2 linked regions of the Astyanax mexicanus genome follow. The protein of the gene in region 1 purifies or fractionates together with the protein of each later gene. This does not show direct contact. Links are inferred from orthologs where the notes say so. Each region holds a gene or a part of one and is shown in the gene's direction. Other genes may lie near its edges.

Region 1 (9,942 bases):
GCCTCACACACTCCACACACACACTCTACACACTCTTCTGACCGTGCCGGCCTGCGTCCTGTAGGCAGAAGATCTAAGGCAGCTCTTTTTAGCTCTTTTTAGACACCTGTGCTCATCTTCTTCTTTCTCTACCTCTTTATTCCTCTCTATCTGCCTTTTTTTCTTTTTATCTATATGCTGTCCTTCTTCTCAGAGCCCTTCTCCGCCTGCAGGCCTGCCCACGGCCCCTGTGACATTAGAGGGAGAGCAGGACACAGCCGGCTCACACACACACTCTCTCACACACACACACTTACACACAGAGAGACGACAACGCGAGAACTCACAGCATGACGAAGAACTGGAGCGCAGTGCCAAGAAACTCTAACATGCGCACATACAAACACACACACATACACACACACACACACAGGCGTAGGGCCTCCAGTCATACTCACAGTCACACAGTGAAAAATGATCCCTGAGCAAGTGAATCCATCTTAAATCTAATCTAAACTTTTAGTACTCCTCATTTTGAGTCTCTTAACTTAGTTTTACCCACCTTCAAGCAAAATCTGGAAATTTGACCTTACAATAACAAACTCAGATCACTGTGTCTATACTCCCCAGCGAACAGAGAACGTTATAAAAACGTTTATTATTTTTTTTGCACGTAATGTTATATTATACAGTATATTATACCACAGTTAGTTCCGAACCTGCAATGTGATTGGCCGAGGGGCTTTCTGTGAATGCCATTATCAGCCAGTAATGCACTGTAATTGAAGCTCTTCATGTATTACTGCACCACAAACAGGTAACCTAGCAACGATGCAGTGTTTTCAAGCCAGCCTGACTGTTTTATAACCAAACAGATCATATTTTCTTGTTCTTTTTAACTCAAAATCCTACATTAAACAGCGATACTGGAACTGTGGTATAATCGCAATAATATACTTGTTTAATACAGGCGCGACTGCAGCACAGCAGGGCCAATTTTACACATTATAGCACGAACCTCTAGCGTATGATTGCTTTAATATGTTCCAGGAATGTTCTGAGAACATTCCATGGGGGGGTGTTGGGGGCATAATTTTTTTTATGAATTAGATGCAATTTACACCATTCTGGTGTTAAAAATACACATAATTTTACTTATAAAAGAGACTTAAATGAATGACTATTTTACAGACAGATTCAACAATTCAACAAGTCCTCATTTCTCTAGTCCATATATTTACCAGCCTGTTGCTAATACACGATTACTGGGAATAACTAGGAATAACATTGTTCCGTAAATAAGTCAAAGTTTACTCCTAATATTCAATTGTTTTATTGAACGTTCATTTAACAGGCTCCGAGTGGTGCTTCGAAATCCCGATCATGTAGCTTGCCATCAGCTGCCAGAGTCCAAGATAGCTCAATTGGCCTTGCTCTCTCTGGGTGCGTAGATGGCACTCTTAGGGTGATGTTGATCAGCACAAGGCGCTTTTCTCGGAGTGTTAGCGCTGTGATGCTACTAGACAATGCTACATCAGCAGCAGTTCAGTTCAGTTCACCCTTCTGGTGTTGGGGCATTACTAGTGATAGAGGGAATATAGCTAAAAAGTTGAAAAAATAAAACAGCTAAACATGGAAAAAAAAAGAAAAAAGAACATGGGCATATAACCCAAAAAAAATAGGTTTTAGTAAAAATTGGACATTGTGAGATGGTAATGGGGCTGATTTCACCTCCTCCTGCTTTCAGTGGTATGTGTATTCTCCTATCGATCGTGTGGAATGGATTCTTTCCAATAATTTTACTTAAATTTTCTCCTGTTTTTCTCCCAATTTAGCTAGGCCAATTTTCCCACACATTCAGCTGTATATCCCCCCCATCACTGATGATGCCACAACACAAGGAGGGTAAAAAACCAGCACACGCCTCTTTCGACACATGCAAAATCAGACTCCGTCTTTTTTTAACTGCTGCTGATCCAGCATTGTTGAGTAGCATCATAGCACACTCGGAAGAAAGCGCAGCGACTCGGTTCTGATACATCAGCTCACAGAGGCCTTGTGCTGATCAACATCACCCTTTAAAGTGATGTGGGGAGAGAATGCTATCTACTTACCCAGAGCAAGCAAGGTCAACTGTGCTCTCAGAGCTCCGGCAGCTGATGGCAAGCTGGATTTGAACCAGCAATCTTCCAATCATATTGGCAGCACTTTAGAGTGCTGGAACACTCTGTGCCCATTTGGTTACATTTTTAATTACTTTTTTTATGTAGAGAGTTTTTATTCTTGTTCTTCCTTTAAGTCCTGTGTGTGTGTGTGATTTTATATTTATATGTTACCTGGCGATTAGAATAGATAGCATTATGCAGTGCAGATATGTCATTTGTATTACAACTTAAATATTCACATCAAGTTTAAAAATATACATTTAACATTTAAAGAATTTTAACATTACATATTTTAACTGGATGGTGGATGAAAAAAGAAATAACTATTATTTTTTTTTTACTGTACAACAGTACATATGATAAACATAAATCTTTGATTTCTATACATAAAAAGTAATTTATTAAAATTAGTTAAGTTCTTTACTTAATTCATGTTTGTAAAGAAAAAAAATATTAAATTACACATTTAACTAATGCTAGTATAGAAATAGTATATGTTAATACTCAAAAGGGAAAAATATGTTTTCATTGTGTTTTTAATACTATGGATTTTACTGTGTGACATCACAAACACACTCTATTCCAAAGGTGATGCTTTTGTAGATTAGTTATATATAGTTATATATCATACTCATTGTAGAATACTCTTTAATTATCTTTTTTTTCATTTATCTATGATATGAGCCCTTTAATGCTCTTTATACAACGCTCTCTCTCTCTCTCTCTCTCTCTTTCTCTCTCTCTCTCAATCACTCACACACACACACACACACGGTCTGAGAAACTGCAGGGCACGCTCCATAAAAGGATTGGTTGATTTTTCCACTCGTATTGCTCACAGGCTCCTCTGGAAGAGGGAAACACACAGAGATGGGTGGTGTATTATCAGAATACTGGTGTGTAATAGAAACACTGTCCTTGCTTTCTCCTTCTCCACAGTTTCAGCATGGCCCTCTATCTCTGCTATAAATAGCAGATCACGTGATAAAAAGCTTATGAACCTTATCTACATCCTCAACAGTGTTTATAGACTTTTACCACTGCCTGAGCGACACAACAGTTCCATTCTGTTACTGTATGCTGTGGTTACGTTCCCTTATGTTCTATAAAACTAAACTAAAAAAACACATTTTGTCAAATTGACTACAACCAACCATATATGGATGAGATTCAGACCAGAAGAAAATATAAATGACAGAGACCACGTACAAAGTAATCTGATCACACTGACCATTTCACATATCAACTTTATTTGACTTTATCTGACGTAAAAACTGCAAAGAACTTCTTGCAAAGTGTCTTATGACGGAACCAACAGCACAAAAACACCACATGATCAATCAATAATAGTATGATCAACTAGAAAAGTGGATGATTGTACAGTTAAAATGTCTCCAACTGGCCCAGGGTGTAAATGGAAACCAGTACAGCTTAGGTGCTGCTTCACTAAACTGAAGTCTTATAATCCTTACAGTGTCTCACTTCCTTACTGTAATGTCTACAACACATTAAATATAAAACCATTACTAATGTATAAACATCAGCTAATGTAGCACTTATATACCACACAATAACCTTTATACATATAAATAATATATTATCCACAGTTAATCCTGCAAAAACACACAGACACAATGCTATCAGATGCTATCTTTAATCAGCTTTCTTACCATTACATTTTAATTTATATTCTATAGGATCTCTCCCACAGGAATCATGTATTATTTCATTCTAAATAAATATAAAATAACAATGTAAAAACCCTGTAGAGAAGACTTTTGTTCCTCATCTCATCCACATATTTTGACTCTGGGACTACAATATTAAATGTTAAGGGGAGATATGTAGGAATGCATTTATATAGCTCGGCTAAAGCCATTTAAAAGGCTTGGCTACTGTTAATTTTTAAAGTAGCATAGTAAAAAGATTAGAAAATAAGTCTTACCTTTAAAAAATTGTAATAAACCAGTTTACTGTTCATCTGCTCAACTGCTCATCTGCGTAACTAATGTTAATTCTTCACTAGGTCTAACTCACTGCAGCGTATAAAGCTTTTAGTTTCTTGTTCACATTTCCATTCCACCTTAAAACACATTTCCATTCCACCTTAACAGTTTCCCTGCATTAAAACACATTTTCTCTACGTTAAAACACAGTTTCCTCTTTAGACTGTAGTAGATAATAAAGTGTTTTAAAAGTTTTACACATTTCTGCTCAGGTTGTGCAGAAATCACAGAAAAACAGTTCAAATAAAACAGAACGTGGATTCCCATTTGAATCTTCGGTTCTACCTTAAAAACGCCTGAAGCCTGAGTGCCGCTACAGCAGCATTTAAGGCGGAATGGTAAATTGGCAGCATTTAAGGTGGGATAGTAAATTCATGTGAGTTATTTCTGTAAGGAAAAGTGTGTTTAAAGTGCTTATTTATAAAAAGATAAGTAGATAGAAGCTACTTACTTGTAATGCTGTATCTCGAGCAGCTTGTGTACCTTAACCTAGACACAATTAGCCACATGACAAATAATGAGGCAGCAGCAGGTAAAGAAGAGGAATGATTATTATTAAGATGGAATGGTATGATCCACTTTAGGGGAGATTGAAATCGTATCACAATATTCTTCCAGGCACAGATACATTGTTTTTGTAGTTTTTAACTTTATATGTTTGAAGTATATTTAAATGTTTTGACCAAACTATTGTTTTATCCCTTAAGGGGGTTTGAAGTCTTAATTGGGGGATCTGGGATAATTTTGGTCTTAAAGATAAATTGGTCAGTGTAAAGTTTAGCAGTTTAATTTCTGTGACTGCATCAAGCAAAATTCGAAAATAGAAAATTGGTAATAGAACTTAATCATTATTTTTTTTATATTCAGTAGAATGAAGAAGAAATGGTTATTCATCCAATTTGTCATTTATATAAATTTTTATTTCAACCTTTGGCAAACAGAATGAAAAAGTGAATCTTCTCTCAATTTTCAGAGTTGTAAATTGTGTACCTTGCAACACAAATCTTAAGGTATAATAATAATCCTTGCAAAATGCAAAAATGGAAAAATGAGGAAAAATATATATTCTTTGTTCTTTTTTTCCCTAAAAATACATTTGTAAGGTGCAGAGATGAAAAAATAAATTGGAAAAATGGATGAAAACTTATTTCTTGTACACTGCACTACATAAAAAAAGAAATAATGATTTTTTTTTACATACAATTTTCTATTTTTGCATTTAGCCTTAAACAGTCAGAAAAGGAGTCGTTATAATGACCCTGATTGACCAGCAGATGCCACTGTAATAAAGGAGTGATTCGAACGACTCACTAGATCGAATCTTTTTCCGAACCAATTGATTCATTTGATTTGATTACCCAAAAGCCTCGCTTCTGCTCTCACTCCAGGCCGGTGGGGGCAGCAGTGAGTGTTTGCTCAGCGGTAGAGTAAGAGCGCGGGCTCCATGCTTTCCCTACAGGACAGGTAAACACAGCAGCATGTCGCGGAGTGAAGCCGCGCGGGGCGGCTGAAGGTAAGATTAATTATCATCACTGGATCAGTGGGATATAGTCAGGGTGTTTATACGGAGCGCGTGGCCGGAGCTGTGTGTGTAGTGTATTGGAGGTCGCGCTCTAATTAGAAATCAGCTGTCTAACTAGGGCCCCTCTCTAGTGCACAGTGTCACTTTCTCCACTTTATAACCCACACTGTTAGGAGTATATATATATATATATAAATATATATAATATAAAACATTAAGTCTTTAAATTAATGCTTTGATTACTGTTGCTTTTACTTTGTCCCACAAAAGTACATAATATATGACGAAATCAGACTTAATTATTAGAAAAACAGCTGAAGTATTTAAATTATAGACCTTAAAAGATATAAGATATACACCGGCGCCGAGTGGTCCAGCGGTCTAAAGCGCTGCCACTATGAGCAGGAGGTCGCCGGTTCGAACCCCAGCTCATGCAGCTTTGCCATCAAGCTGCTGGCGTTAGAGGGAGCTCCCTCCGGGTGGGTAGATGGCGCTCTTTCCCCACATCACTCCTATGGTGATGTCTGCAGCACAGGGCGTCTGTGAGCTGATGTACCAGAACCGAGCCGCTGTGCTTTCCTCCAAGCGTGCTGGCTACTCGGCAATGCTGCATCAGCAGCAGCTCGAAAAGAAGCGGTGGCTGACTTCACATGTATCTGAGGAAGCATGTGTTAGTCTTCACCCTCCTGGTGTGTTGAGGTATCGCTAGTGATAGGGGAAGTCCCTAATGAATGGGTTGGGTAATTGGCTGTGTAAATTGGGGAGCAAATGGGAAAAAATAGAAAAAAAAAAAAAAAAGGATATACACCAACAACTTTAACACGGCTTACTTAAAACTAGGTATTTTAAATAGTTCCGTAAACACTATAAATGGACCTAAAACACCTAATATTTAAGTATTTAAAAAGATTCCCAGATTTCTCATATGCTCTATTGCACAAGTTAGACACAGTAATTGGTGTTTGCTGCTTAGATGCTGTTCTCATTTTTCTCCAGGTAGGACACAGCGAGACAAGCATTTGACTCCACAGAGCTGTACACTGACTACTTTACACTGTATCAAAGTGTCATATATTTAGTGTTATAATAAAATATTTACAAATGTGTGAGGGCTGTGCTCACTTTTGTGGGATACTGTACCTGCTTCTAATGTTCACACAGACAGAACGTGCACTTCTTTATCTAACAGCTCAAAGCAATCTGATGGTTTTACATAACTCAAAGAGCCAATCAGAACGTTTGAAAATATCTTCACTCTGCTCAGCAAAGAATGGACAAAGACCAAATATCTGGGGGGGCCTTACAAAACAATTTTGTAACTATTTGAATTCTGACATGGTAAGAACATCTTAAATGCATCATGTGTTTGTGTTTTAAGTATGCTGTGTGAATTGTATCTGCTCTGAATAATATGACCCTTCTGTGACCTGTTGTGTGTTATGTTCTAGGTCTTATGGATGCTGTTGTAACCCCCCAGATCCAGAAGATGCCTCCTGTGGAAGACGGAGATCTGGTGGTGTTGCCGCCAGACTCTGTGGACGCTGGCACTCAGAGATGTCGTCTGGGTCCTGCAGTGATGGAGGAGCTGGGGCTGAAGCTGGGTTCTCCGCTTCTCATCCTGCTGCCCCGGGGGTCCTGCCTCTGCACCGCATGGCCTCGGAGTGACCTCGCTAATGGATACCTGCAGTTCCAAACCACCTGCGCTGGAGTAAACCTCATCAACTATGATGCAATGAAGCTCAGCACCCAACCAACGCCTCAGTCTGAAAACAGCTACGCTGGATTCAATATCAATTTAATGAAACTCCAGTGCCTCCAGAGGATGAAAATTAAGCCACTAACCTGCCCACGTCTTAAGCGCTTGTCTGTGAAGGTTCTGGTGCAGAGTTCTGAAACTGAGCCCATCCAGTACATTCAGGAGCTCGCAAAGGAGCTACTGATGGGTCTGTATGTGCACGAGAAGCACTTGGTGAGTGTTGCGAGAGCTGGGACTCAGATTCAGTTCATAGAGGTGGAGAAGGTGAACTCTGGCTCGCAAAAAGCTGGACTGGTCACTGCCGAGACCCGCCTGGACTTGAGCTCGGTTCAGACAGTTCAGAAGTACAGACAGGCTTTGAGAAAGACTCCTTCTGTGCCCTTGGGCGGAGTCGAGGAGGTGCTTTCTTCTCTAAAAGAGATGCTAACGGTTCCGCTGCACTATCCAGGCAGCTTAAAGCGTCTAGGCCTGCCCTGTCCACGGGGGGCGCTGTTGGTGGGGCCGCCAGGGGTGGGAAAGACCCAGCTGGTCCGAAATGTGGTGCAGAAAGTCGGAGCAGCGCTGGTGACCATAAACGGCCCTGTGGTGGTGGGGTCACGCCCTGGAGAGAGCGAAGAGAACCTGCGCAGGGCGTTCGACCGTGCTCGGGCGGCGGCGCTGGACGGTCCATGTGTTTTGTTTATTGATGAGATCGATGCTCTCTGTCCGAGGAGGAGTGAATCTGGCAGCACTCCAGAAAATCGTATCGTAGCTCAGCTGCTGACGCTCATGGATGGGATCGGCAGCGATGAAAGTTTCATCATCATCGCAGCGACCAATCAGCCTGACACACTGGACCCGGCCCTCAGGAGACCTGGCCGGTTCGACAGAGAGGTAAAGTTCATAATTTTAAAAATAAAATTTCTTTTTAACACATGGATGCATGAAGTGTTGTCTAATTAAATCCATTTAAATTGTACTTGAATGTTGTGTGGTTCGCATCAGACAACTATTTTCGCTAAATTTGCGCTGTCATCTCTACACTACTAATAGATTAAAGCTTCCCATTGCAACAATTCTCAAACTTTTTCATTCTTAAACTGTGGCCCCTAGCCACCCACTTTACCTCCAGTAAAAAACACAAGTTAGAACAGGTCTATGGCCAAAACAAAACAAGTTCATGAAGTTCTTTGCACAAATTCACTCTAGCATAAAGGCATCCCACCACCTCTGTTCTTACCAGTTTCAGTCCCTTTTAGAGTGAGCCGTTTAAGGGCTCCGTCACTTGCAATAAATCCATAAAAGCTTTTGCCTCTGATGCATAGCTGTACTTCCATCTTCCTACTGACTTGCTACGGAGAGTAGATACAGATCCCTTCTTCAGAAGAAGTCTGATCTCTAATCCTGATGTGTACGAGGATCTTAAGTAGCCCTAGACAATATTTTGATATCGGTATTCATCACGATAAGAAATGTTTTAATAACGGTGATATCATTTTTGTGGCGTATCGATATGTGTTATTTTCAGAATCTTTCACAGACAGGCGTTTTTTTTGAGGTGTCAGTTCACTGCAGAGCTGAACACAAACAGCCTACGTAGCCGGGCTACGTCAGTGCATAATGACGTAATCATACAGGCACGTGGCTAGGCTAGGCTAGGCCTGGGTCGGCTCCACTCCACTCCGCATTGCTAAATGTCCCGCGATGAAGCTCGGCTGCGCTCCCCATCTAAAACCTCCCGCGATGAAGCAAAACCGACCCTAGCTGAGCGGATCTCGGCTGTGCTCCGCTCCGCACCTAAAATCTCCCGTATTGAAGAGAAACCAACCCTAACCAAACGGATCTCGGCCGCGCTCCGCTCCGCACCGCACCTAAAACCCACCCGCGATGAAGCGAAACCGACCCTAACCGAGCGGATCTCAGCTCCGCTCCGCACCTAGAATGTCCCGCGATGAAGCTCGACTGCGCTCCGGTCCGGTCTGTTCCACCACTTCAAGCACTACACACAATATCTGAAGCACTTTTGTAGTTTATGTTGTATCTAAGTTATTTATAGTTGATATAGGTTTGTTTATTTGACAGGGATATCATGTTCTCTTTATGTATATGAAGGCTTTTTGTATTCCCTATCCTGGTTGAAGCACTTTTGTTTTGATCTGTTAAATATGTTTACAAAAAAATAAGAAGCTCTGCCTCTGTTGTAATGTAAAGTTATTTATATTGGTAATATGTGTATAGGTTATAGGTTTATGTTTGACAGAGATCTCATATTTTTATTTTGCTACATGCAAATTAAAGTGAGCATTGATTTATTCTAACCATTTTTTATTTCTAAAGTATTTCTAAAGTTCGCTTTTTTTGAGAGGATTTAAAGACTTAAATTAATTTTCAGACAGTAGTGTACAGATATCAATTGCAGGGATTCTTAGCAGTTTTTCTGAGGCCTTCAAAGTATTTATATCGATATCAAAATTATATCTTATCGACCGAAATGAAGGAATATATATTGTGATATAAATTTTGGCCATATCGTCC
Region 2 (9,862 bases), on another chromosome or scaffold:
CACACACACACACACACACACACACATACGATAAGGTTTAAAAAAGTTTCGAAACGTAAAAGTGTATTTACAACTATTTAACTAACAAAAGCTTTGGAAAATGACATTTTTAAAATCCATTTCCAAAGCTCAGTTTATTTCCATTGCTACTCACCAGCTGCAAGCTTTTAACCAATGAAAAAAAATCACCCTCACTTTTTTTAACTATATATCATTTACTATTCACAGGACGACAGCGGCTGAATAGTAAAGTCAAAATGACTCTGGCGCCCTCTGGGGGCAGACTCTAGTGCAACTTTAACTCCACCATTTCTTACCTAATATTTTAGGTTTCCATTATCAAGTACATTATTTATTAGATTTTTTTTGCAATCGTGTTTTTTTAAACATTACTTATTCTCACACTATTTCTCTTTATTATGAAAGTAAACTAAACTGCTTCATCCCAGATTTGATCATCATGCAATAATACACCAATCAAAAAATTCATTGGGTGGACAACGGTGTCTTCAACATTCAACATGCATTTAGTCTCAAGTCTGGAAATTTTCCTTTCTAGATATTTGCACAGCTCTGCACAGCCCTGCATACATACCCAATGCATAATTAAGAAATTACACCATTTCCTGCTGTTAGATCATTTGTGCACAGCTTTACAATTATGAACAAACAAGACACAAATGATATCACACAATGTTTTATTTACAGCTTTAAGGTACTGGTTTCTCAAATCATATCTCAGACGTGACCTGTAACATGAAAATAAAAAATTAAAAGACAAAAGATTTGGGTAATTCTTACATTCTTGAATATTTATTTATTCCATAAATAGAATAACAGATAACAGTTGTAGCAGGCAGGGTTAAAGCTGCAAATGTGATTAATTAAAAAAAAAACACATTTAATGCTTAAACAAGTTAAAACAAATAGAGTGTAAATAAACTATAAGCTCTGACCTTTAAGATGCACTATGTCTTGTTGAAATAATGTTTACTAGTATTTTTTAATAACCCTCTAATGGTCAAACTCCTGATAAAAAAATATTGAGTAAAGTGTAAATTTACCAACAGAGGAAGAGGGTCTACATTCCAAATCTACGTCTCCTGTCTGCTGTTGGCCACATCATAGATGAGGGCTGTAATAGAGCAGTAAAGATAAGGTTAAGCAGATTCACTTCTCTAAAATATTGAGAAAAGAAACATAAAGGTTTACTCCAGCATAAGCTGGAGAACTGATTATGTTTTGACGAGTTTTAAATATTGCACAACACTGCAACACAGTGTACACAGAGAAGCACAACAGAACATTGGTAAACAGTGTAAGGTGTAGGGACCCACTTGGAAGCTCATTCTCTATGCTAATTCTTAACTTTTACAGTGTAAAAATACAAAGTGTCTATGTATAAAGGAAAACACAAAATTCTAAACTCACTGTCAAGCATTGTAAGCACAATCTCTCGTTTCTTCAAAGCACTGTCCACTTCTGCCATCAGCCAGGGGAGGAATCCTGTCTCTATATCTGAGATACAATGGAAAGAATATATTAAAATAAAGAACATAGACTGATTTAATAGATGTTTAACTGTGTAATCTTCAAATGCCGTATTTTAAAAGGATATGAAGCACCTCTCTGCACTGGGTCGTAGAAATAGCCCTGGTCTCTCAGAGTGTTGTAGACGGAGGGCAGCAGGTCAGCCAGGTATTGCTGAGCAAATACTCTAGCTGCTATTTTCTCTGCTATTACTCTCTCATTCTCCAAGACTTCTCTCTGCTGCTTAAGTCTGCGTACCTACATCAGGAAAGCAACACACAAGTCTGAAGAGCTGAAGGGATATTATGGCCATATTGTGCCAATTTATGTTTTTTGATTTTCTATTTATGGCCTCCTGGGGCATCACACAGGCAACAAAATCATCCATGGGAACAAACCTGTAGTACTGGTTAGTATTATGAACACATAAAAAAAAGAATAGAGCAATGAATAAATAAAATTAATTAGCAAAACTGTAGATCTTGGCTTACTAGGAAGATACTAGATCATAAAAGCTCATAATTCAGGTGAGGTTACCTTCTCCTCTCGGTGGCGCCTCTCCTGTTCCTCCAGTCGCTGTACCTCCACAATTTCAGCATTACGCAGCTCCTGGAAGGCACGCTGTTGAGCCCTCAGGGATGCCAGCTCTTCCTCTTCCAGAACTTCCAACAGAGCCTGTTCCATGGTCTTTCCTATCAGCACCTCTAACACAGGCTGCACCTCTGTGTCAAAGTAAAACAGCTGTAAAAAGAATGGAAAGATTTAGACTAATGAAGAGTAAGAATAAAGCTACACACTAAGAAATGTAAGTACTGATTTGTACTTAAAAGAGTACAAAGCTTGTCGCTGGGGCTGTACCTTATATTGAGGTACAAAAAAGTACCTTTCAGTAAAAGTCCTTTTTTGTACCCATGGTTTTTGTGCCAGTAAAGATTATAAAGATTATAAACATTATCATCAACTAAATATGGCTCAGAAACTTGATGATCCAAAATTGTCTGGCTTTCAAATAAAAAATGTGCAAATAAAATATATATTGTTTATTAGTACAGTGATACAGAATACTGAATGTACCTTTTTTCTGGTTAAATGGTAAAAAATTGTACTTATTGCTGTTAGGAATGACTTTGTACTTCAGAGGGAACAAATCTGACCCTGTAAAGAGCAATATTGTACCTTTAAAGGTATGATTATGAAGAGTGTACCTTTGAGTACAAAAAAGTACTCATATTGTACCTCTGTTTTTTAGAGTGTATGTAATTCTTTCTAAAAAAAGTCTCAGAGGCCTTTAGTACACTGTAGATTATTTAGTAGTCTCTACCCCAGTACCTGAAAGGAGTACACAAATAACATGACTGCTATGCTAGGCTCTGGTAATGTTAAATACATTTTAAAAAACAATAAATGTGTTCGGTCTGTACCTCTCCTTCCTCTATTTGTGTGGCTACATCTTTTCCAGACTTGGCAGGGATAAAGAGAGGAGTGGCTGGTTTGTCTAGGAATGCATCAGTCTGACATCCCACACTGGCATCTTCAGGATGATCACTCAGCTCCTCCAAGTACAGCTCTAAGCCACAAATCAAATATAGATTACAATTATTTTTTAAATACTTTTTGACTCATTGACTGTACAAAACATTAAGGCTTTAGGTCCATTCCCTTTCATTCTATAACCAGTTTGCCTTGTAAGTAAAATGTTTCACCAGTAAAAGTGCTGTTATTGTCATTTCTACTGCAGCTCAGCTACTCCATTGAGTCGAAAATTAATGTACAGCGAAAGGGTGTAATGTTGATGACTAACCTCTTCCTGCCAATATTAACAAGAAGCAGCAGCACCACAGTAATCGTCTCTTTCTAAAACACATAATGCTCACCAGTCTGCACATCCGTGTGTTTCCTCCCTTCAAGTGCTTCTGGGGTTAATAAGCGGAACTGCTCTTTAGCTCTCTTTCTTGCCAGGGCTCTCCTTCTGGTCTCTTGCTGTTTTTGAAGCTCAGCAGGGTCAGGCTGTGACCTCTGTTACACACAGGTTTTTAAATAGCTGATTTTAGACAAAGTGATCAAGTGACACCTTATGTAGCTATATTGTACAGCAGATAAATAATGTCACTTACAAGTGGCAGAGTGTGTTGTGCATAGGTATTTCCTCTGACAACACGCCGATCGTACATAATGTTTCCATATACATATAATTCTTCATTTCTGCATACAATAAAAAAAAAAAAAAAAAAAAAAATATATATATATATATATACACAATTAGTTATACAAACTTATGTCACTTATTAATAAATTATAAAAAAGCTATTTCACTAAAACATTAATTTCTACTACACATTCTTATTTAAAAGATTATCAATGAACTGTTTATTATTATTATTATTATTATTATTTGATCCACAACCCACTTTGATTGAAGTATTTCTATATAATTATTTACTGAATGGTAAAATATTATTAAGTTAGCAAGTCAGTTGACTTTTTAGCTACATTTTATTATTATTACATTAGATACACTATTAGACAAAGTAAAAAAGAGCGAAAGATAGAAAAACAATAAGTGAATGTTGGTCAAATATAGTTAACCATATAATAAACTCTCATAGTTGACTCTAGTAAAATGCAGTACAGATATTTCAGTCAGATTTTACTTTAGCAAATAAAGTCACGGTTGGCTGGTTTTACTCTGCTGTAAATAGTTAAGTTATGTCAGGTGAATTAATAGTTTATGTCTTACTGAATCACCGCAGGGTCCTTGTATTTGAGGCGCGTTGGAGCAGGCCGTGGTCGACTAGAGAACACATACGCTCCGTTTGGATCCTGGTTGTAGGGCTGTAACGCCGAAGCCATTCTTGTTCAGTAAAATATCTGTTAAAATATAATATTTAATGATAATATAAATAAAAAGACGCAGCTGAGTAAACCATGTAAGAAACCTCTGCTGCTGCTGTTGTTAGTGGTGGTTTCTAGGCAACAGTGACCGCTACAGGTTAGTGACCTGTCGTTCGCGAAAGATCCGGCTGTAAGAGCCGACTCGATTGGAACCGGCTCCACAATGGGAGCCGTTTTAGGATCCTTTTTGGGAGTCGTTTTTTCCTTCAGTATCTCGCTGTCTCTCCGCCTCCCTGTCGTGTCACAGAGCCGACAGTTTTTGTCCTTCGGTGTCTCGCTGTCCATCCATAATGAAACAAAATGTTATAAAATTAGGTTAGGCTATTAATTAATTAATATGTAAATATTATGTAAAAATATGTAAAAAATATATATGGGGAGCTGAAAGAGCCGGCTCATCTCAAAATAGAGCCGGAGATCCCATCACTACTACAGGTGAGAACCTGGGTTATACCGCCCTCTGCTGTTTATATAAAATACTGTTCTTATAGAGACACTGGAGTTACAATTGTAGTAATATTTGTATTTCTTTGCGAACATATTTTTAGTTCTAAAGGACAGAAAATGCGATATGTTCGGTTATAAACACTTCGCGAGTGGTGTTTATAAATAGTTCCATTGCTGCTTTGTTTGTAGCTGCGCTGTTTAACTGGTAAGCGCTGCATCATTGCTAATGTTACCTGTATGTGGCGGAGTAATACACTCACAGAACGCCTCCCAGCCAATCACATTGCAGGGTCGGAACAAACTGTGGTATAATGTACAATAAGTCACTATCGTAATTTCCATGACAGCACAGACAGTGTTTAACAAACTGTTATCATACTTTTACTGAAATTTTTAATTCCCTTAAACTCAGAACTCATAAACAAGCCTGAAAACAATATGTATGCCAGGTATGTATGTATTAATCAAATGTTCAAAGGTTTATTTTTTCTCCCTATTTCTTTGTCATACCTTGTAATGATGTGTGCAGCATGTATTGTAAGTGTTTCCTGTGGAAGATTTGTTCCAGTTTTTACGCGTAGAACAAAAAACACGTAGCTAATATATTGTCGTCTGAACAAAAACTTGTATGTCAAAAAGTTATGCTTTAATAAAAATTTCATTAATAATTTGTGCATTTTAATGGTTAATGCATGAGTACATTTTGTCATGAATACAGTCAGATACAGTACCAGATCTCCCTTCTTAGTTAATGTTTTTTTTCTTTATTTTTATTACTTTCTACATTTTAGACAGAGGTGTCAAGTAACTAAGTACAAATGCTTACCTTACCTAAGAATAAATATTGGTTAGCTATACTTTACTGGAGTAATAATTCTTCACACAATTATCTGTACACCTACTCCTCACATTTTCACAAAGTTATCTGTTAAAATCGCCTCGTTACTCCTCTTCCATTATTCTTACATTACATTACATACTAAATCCCAGTGTTACCTTAAAGAAGGAGCATTTAAAATAATGTTTTAGCTGAATCTGTGACTTAATAATTCGTCCTTATAAGAAAGTGACCCAGTCTGCTGCTGCAAAAAAGAAAGAAAGAAACTTCATTTCCCATAAACCCTCTGTCTGCGGAAGCAGTGTAAGCAGTTCCTCCGGTGCATCTGAAGGGCATTAGGGGAAACAGTCCATGTGAGAGCCTCACGGAGGGAGTAAAGCCGGATACAGGGCAGTTTTAGCGAATTAGGGTTTATTAATAAACACAGAAATATGGACAGCTTCGGTTCAGATTACTCCTCCGCGGCGGGGTCCGGGAAAATGGACACGGGCACTATAATGGAGCAGGTGAAGGTGCAGATAGCGGTGGCGAACGCTCAGGAGCTCCTGCAGGTAACAGCACAGATCACACGCTCAGGCTAAATAACCCAGCACTAGCCTAGCCTAGCTGCTCATTACAATCTCCACATTACAGATTAAATACAGCTAGTTACCCACAAAACAACTGCATCAGATAAGGTGGAACCAAACAGCCAATTGGGAAACAAACATATTAATCAAAGAGTAATGAGTCATTCATAGTCATTCATTACTGAAACCTCTGTTTCTCCTGAGCTGCTGTGCTCTAAATAATCCAGCAGTTAAAGGGGACATTCAAAACTCATTGAAACAGTACAGTAATGTAGTATACAGCTCTGGAAAAAGAATTAAGAGACCACTTCATTTTCTGAATCAGTTTCTCTGATTTTGCTATTTATAGGTAGATGTTTGAGTAAAATAAACATTGTTGCTTTATTCTATAAACTACAGACATTTCTCCCCAATTCCAAATAAAAATATTGTCATTAAGAGCATTTTTTTTGCATAAAATGAGAAGTGGCTGAAATAACAAAATATGCAGAGCTTTCTGACCTCAAATAATGAAAAGAAAAGTTTATATTCATAAAGTTTTAAGAGTTCAGAAATCAATATTTGGCGGAAAACCCTGTTTTTTAACACAGTTTTCATGCATCTTGTCATGTTTTCCTCCACCAGTCTTACACACTGCTTTTGAATAACTTTATGCCACCCCTGGTGCAAAAATTCAAGCAGTTCAGCTTGGTTTGATGGTTATGATCATCCATATTCCACTTGATTATGTTCCAGAGGTTTTCAATTTGGGCAAATCATAGAAACTCTTAAGCGGTAAATTTTATTTGTAAAGGAATACACTAACTAGGGGTGTGCCATATCGTAACATATATAATAATATCTCCATAATATTTGAATATCGTAAACAATATTATATTCTGCTGCTTTTAGCCAAAAAAAATAAATCTAATTTCTCGTTTCCCATTATAGCTACTAGAGATGAATTATATCTGATTTATTTTACTTCAGTCCTATATATATTTGGAGTGCAGTAGAAGTATCATCACTTCTTACCCACAAAGGGTTGGTTTTCAGGTTTTCATTCTAAAAAATAGCTGTAGACCTGATTCTATTTGTTATTAATTGGGCCTGTCTTTAAACAGATGACAGACATGCTGTGTTTCTGCTTGGCTGGAATAAAAACCTTCAGTGACACCAGCCCTTTTGGGGAAATAACTGGATAACTAACTTTGGTTTAAAGGTGTCCTCAGTCTGATATTGGCACACTTGTATTTGATTGTAGACCCAACCAAGGTATCGATTTGTTATGTATTATTTTCTCAGAGAATGACAGATAAGTGCTTCAAGAAGTGCATTGGCAAGCCTGGAAGCACACTGGACAATTCAGAACAGGTAGGAATCAGTTTTTCTCTTTTTTACTTGTGTATGTGTACATGCATATATGATACATTTATTCCTGCAAGGTTCACCATGACACAACAGATTTTGCATTTTTGTTTTATTGGGAAAAAGACAATTTTATTTTTCTACTTTTATGATTTCTAATTATAATAAATGCAGTCATATTATGCACTTTCACGGTCATTGACAAAAGCTGTTTTTTTTTTTATATATATAAATCAGCCATAGCATTTAAAACATTTTTTGTAATATTGTCATGCCACCAAACCAGCTCTGACCAGTCAAGGCATGGACTCCATAAGACCTCTGAAGGTGTCCTGTGGTATCTGCCACCAAGACATTAACAGCAGTCCTGTAAGTTGTGAAGTGGGCCTTCATGAGCATCAGTGAGCCTTTAGCGCCCATATCCCTGTCACCAGTTCACCGTTTCACGGTTCACTAACCTTCTTTGGAGCACCTTTTGGTAGGTACTGACAATTGCATCCTGGGTTCCCCCAATAGACCTGCCTGATGTTTTTGAGATGCTCTGACCCATTCATCTATCAGTCAGATTAGGCTTTTTTATGCTGACTCAGACCCTCATACTTGCCTTAAGTTTAAGAACTGACTATTCCCTTGCTTACTAGTGTATCCCACCCTCTTTTTCAATTTATTTACAGACGGTTTCTGAGTTTCTAAAATTGTTATTTTGTTTTTTTTTGCAGAAATGCATCGCCATGTGCATGGACCGGTATATGGATGCATGGAACACAGTCTCTCGCGCCTATAACTCTAGACTTCAGAGGGAAAGGGCGCGAATGTAATGCAGAATCCATCCAGTTGGACCTCAGTGTTAACCTGAATCCCTGGGTATAGAGGCTTGGGGTACCAGTGGATCAGCCCCGCCCCTGTAACACCCAGAACTGGAGAACCATCCAAGGAATCGGGAGATTCTGACTTTTAGACCCAAGTTATTTCCTTTTTCCCCCCCTTAGGCATGTTGAATGTGGGTGGACAGTTACACTCATGGAAGGTATTTGATTATTATATTGCTGTACAGAGGCAGAATAATCATTTCAGGTTTGGTTAAAATTGAGTTAGTATTAAGTCAGATGTTTGAGGATCAGGTTCATCTTGTGACACCTCTGCTACGTCAGAACTATATTTGTCTCAGTTAAACTGTTGTCACAGTTACTGCCTTTTGGTTCAGTAAGGCAGTGTATTGTCCTAGCCATGTCTGCACTGAAGAGTGTTGTGTAGCAGCTGTTTCCAACTGTTGGACAAGCTTTATAGAACATTGAACAGATAGAACAAATTGCATTCAGTCTATCCTGATTTCATTAAAATGTAATATGTTTTATTTTTTAAATGCACATGACCTGTCTTCTTACAACTTGGCAATGAAGCATTTTATGGTGCTCTGGAAAGCTTGGCCAGTCTGGAAACAGCTGCTATGAAACAGTAAAGCACCTGATTTAACATGAAAAAGAGTAGGAGTAAATGTTAAATAAACAAATATGTCTAAATATTCATTTTGTGCCTTGTTTAACATCTTTTAACTCTAGAAGTGGATTTCATGAGGAGAACTTGGGGACTTAAGGGATGTTTTCACATCTGATATTACAGAACAATTTTCAATTCTTCACTCTCCACCAGAATCCCACTCCCTTTTAGTGTACATGCTTTATTCCACAGAATGAGCATAACCCTACAGTAGGTATAGGAACTGCCGGTGTGTAATGTGATGTGCTGTTCTGCTGTGAGACACAAGTGCATGTGAAAGGGAGTCTAATTTCTCATGCCAATTCTTGTTCTGCTTTATGGATGAGGTGATGGTAGTTTGCCTCAACTTTCTGTAATTGGTCTGAACAAATCCAAAAAAACTTTTACTGTACAAATTCAACAAACCCCCCCCCCCCCCCCCCCCCCAAATGGTCTGGATCGTGATTCGAGGTCCCTTTCACACCTGCTATTTTTGTTCAGACCAGAAGTCTGAAAGTCTGGACCAAACAAGGTAGGTGTGACAGCATCAGAATAGCCTTAGACTACACAGCTGTTTAATTGAAAAAAGTCCAGGACTAAGCTCCAGTAACTGCTATAAAGTAGTAATAGGCCTAAATATGCCCCCCTAGGGAATTATGGGTAACAACAGGACATGTTCATTCCTCCTGTTTCGTGGTAATGGCCGTTTTCCACTGGTGAGACTGAGCCGACTCTGTTTCAGAAAGCCTGTGTGCCGTGTGTC

What was found.
Region 2: the proteins of spata5l1 (region 1) and timm13 purify together in Homo sapiens (co-immunoprecipitation; 3 studies listed by BioGRID and IntAct, with this or other methods). This does not show direct contact. The link is inferred for Astyanax mexicanus from reciprocal best matches to the Homo sapiens genes AFG2B and TIMM13.

The regions. Positions count from the first base shown.
Region 1 is NC_064416.1:44,363,507-44,373,448, forward strand, and holds the start of spata5l1 (spermatogenesis-associated protein 5-like protein 1), read left to right. Parts: upstream 1-5,555; 5' UTR 5,556-5,663; intron 5,664-7,120; 5' UTR 7,121-7,125; coding exon 7,126-8,301; intron 8,302-9,942. UniProt on the Homo sapiens protein: ATP-dependent chaperone part of the 55LCC heterohexameric ATPase complex which is chromatin-associated and promotes replisome proteostasis to maintain replication fork progression and genome stability.
Region 2 is NC_064423.1:26,850,234-26,860,095, reverse strand, and holds timm13 (mitochondrial import inner membrane translocase subunit Tim13), read left to right. Parts: upstream 1-5,996; 5' UTR 5,997-6,138; coding exon 6,139-6,258; intron 6,259-7,560; coding exon 7,561-7,629; intron 7,630-8,342; coding exon 8,343-8,441; 3' UTR 8,442-9,149; downstream 9,150-9,862. Other genes in the region: rsph3 (radial spoke head protein 3 homolog), read right to left, coding at 1,095-1,135, 1,432-1,518, 1,626-1,788, 2,068-2,271, 2,952-3,097, 3,405-3,546, 3,645-3,732, 4,268-4,380. UniProt on the Homo sapiens protein: Mitochondrial intermembrane chaperone that participates in the import and insertion of some multi-pass transmembrane proteins into the mitochondrial inner membrane.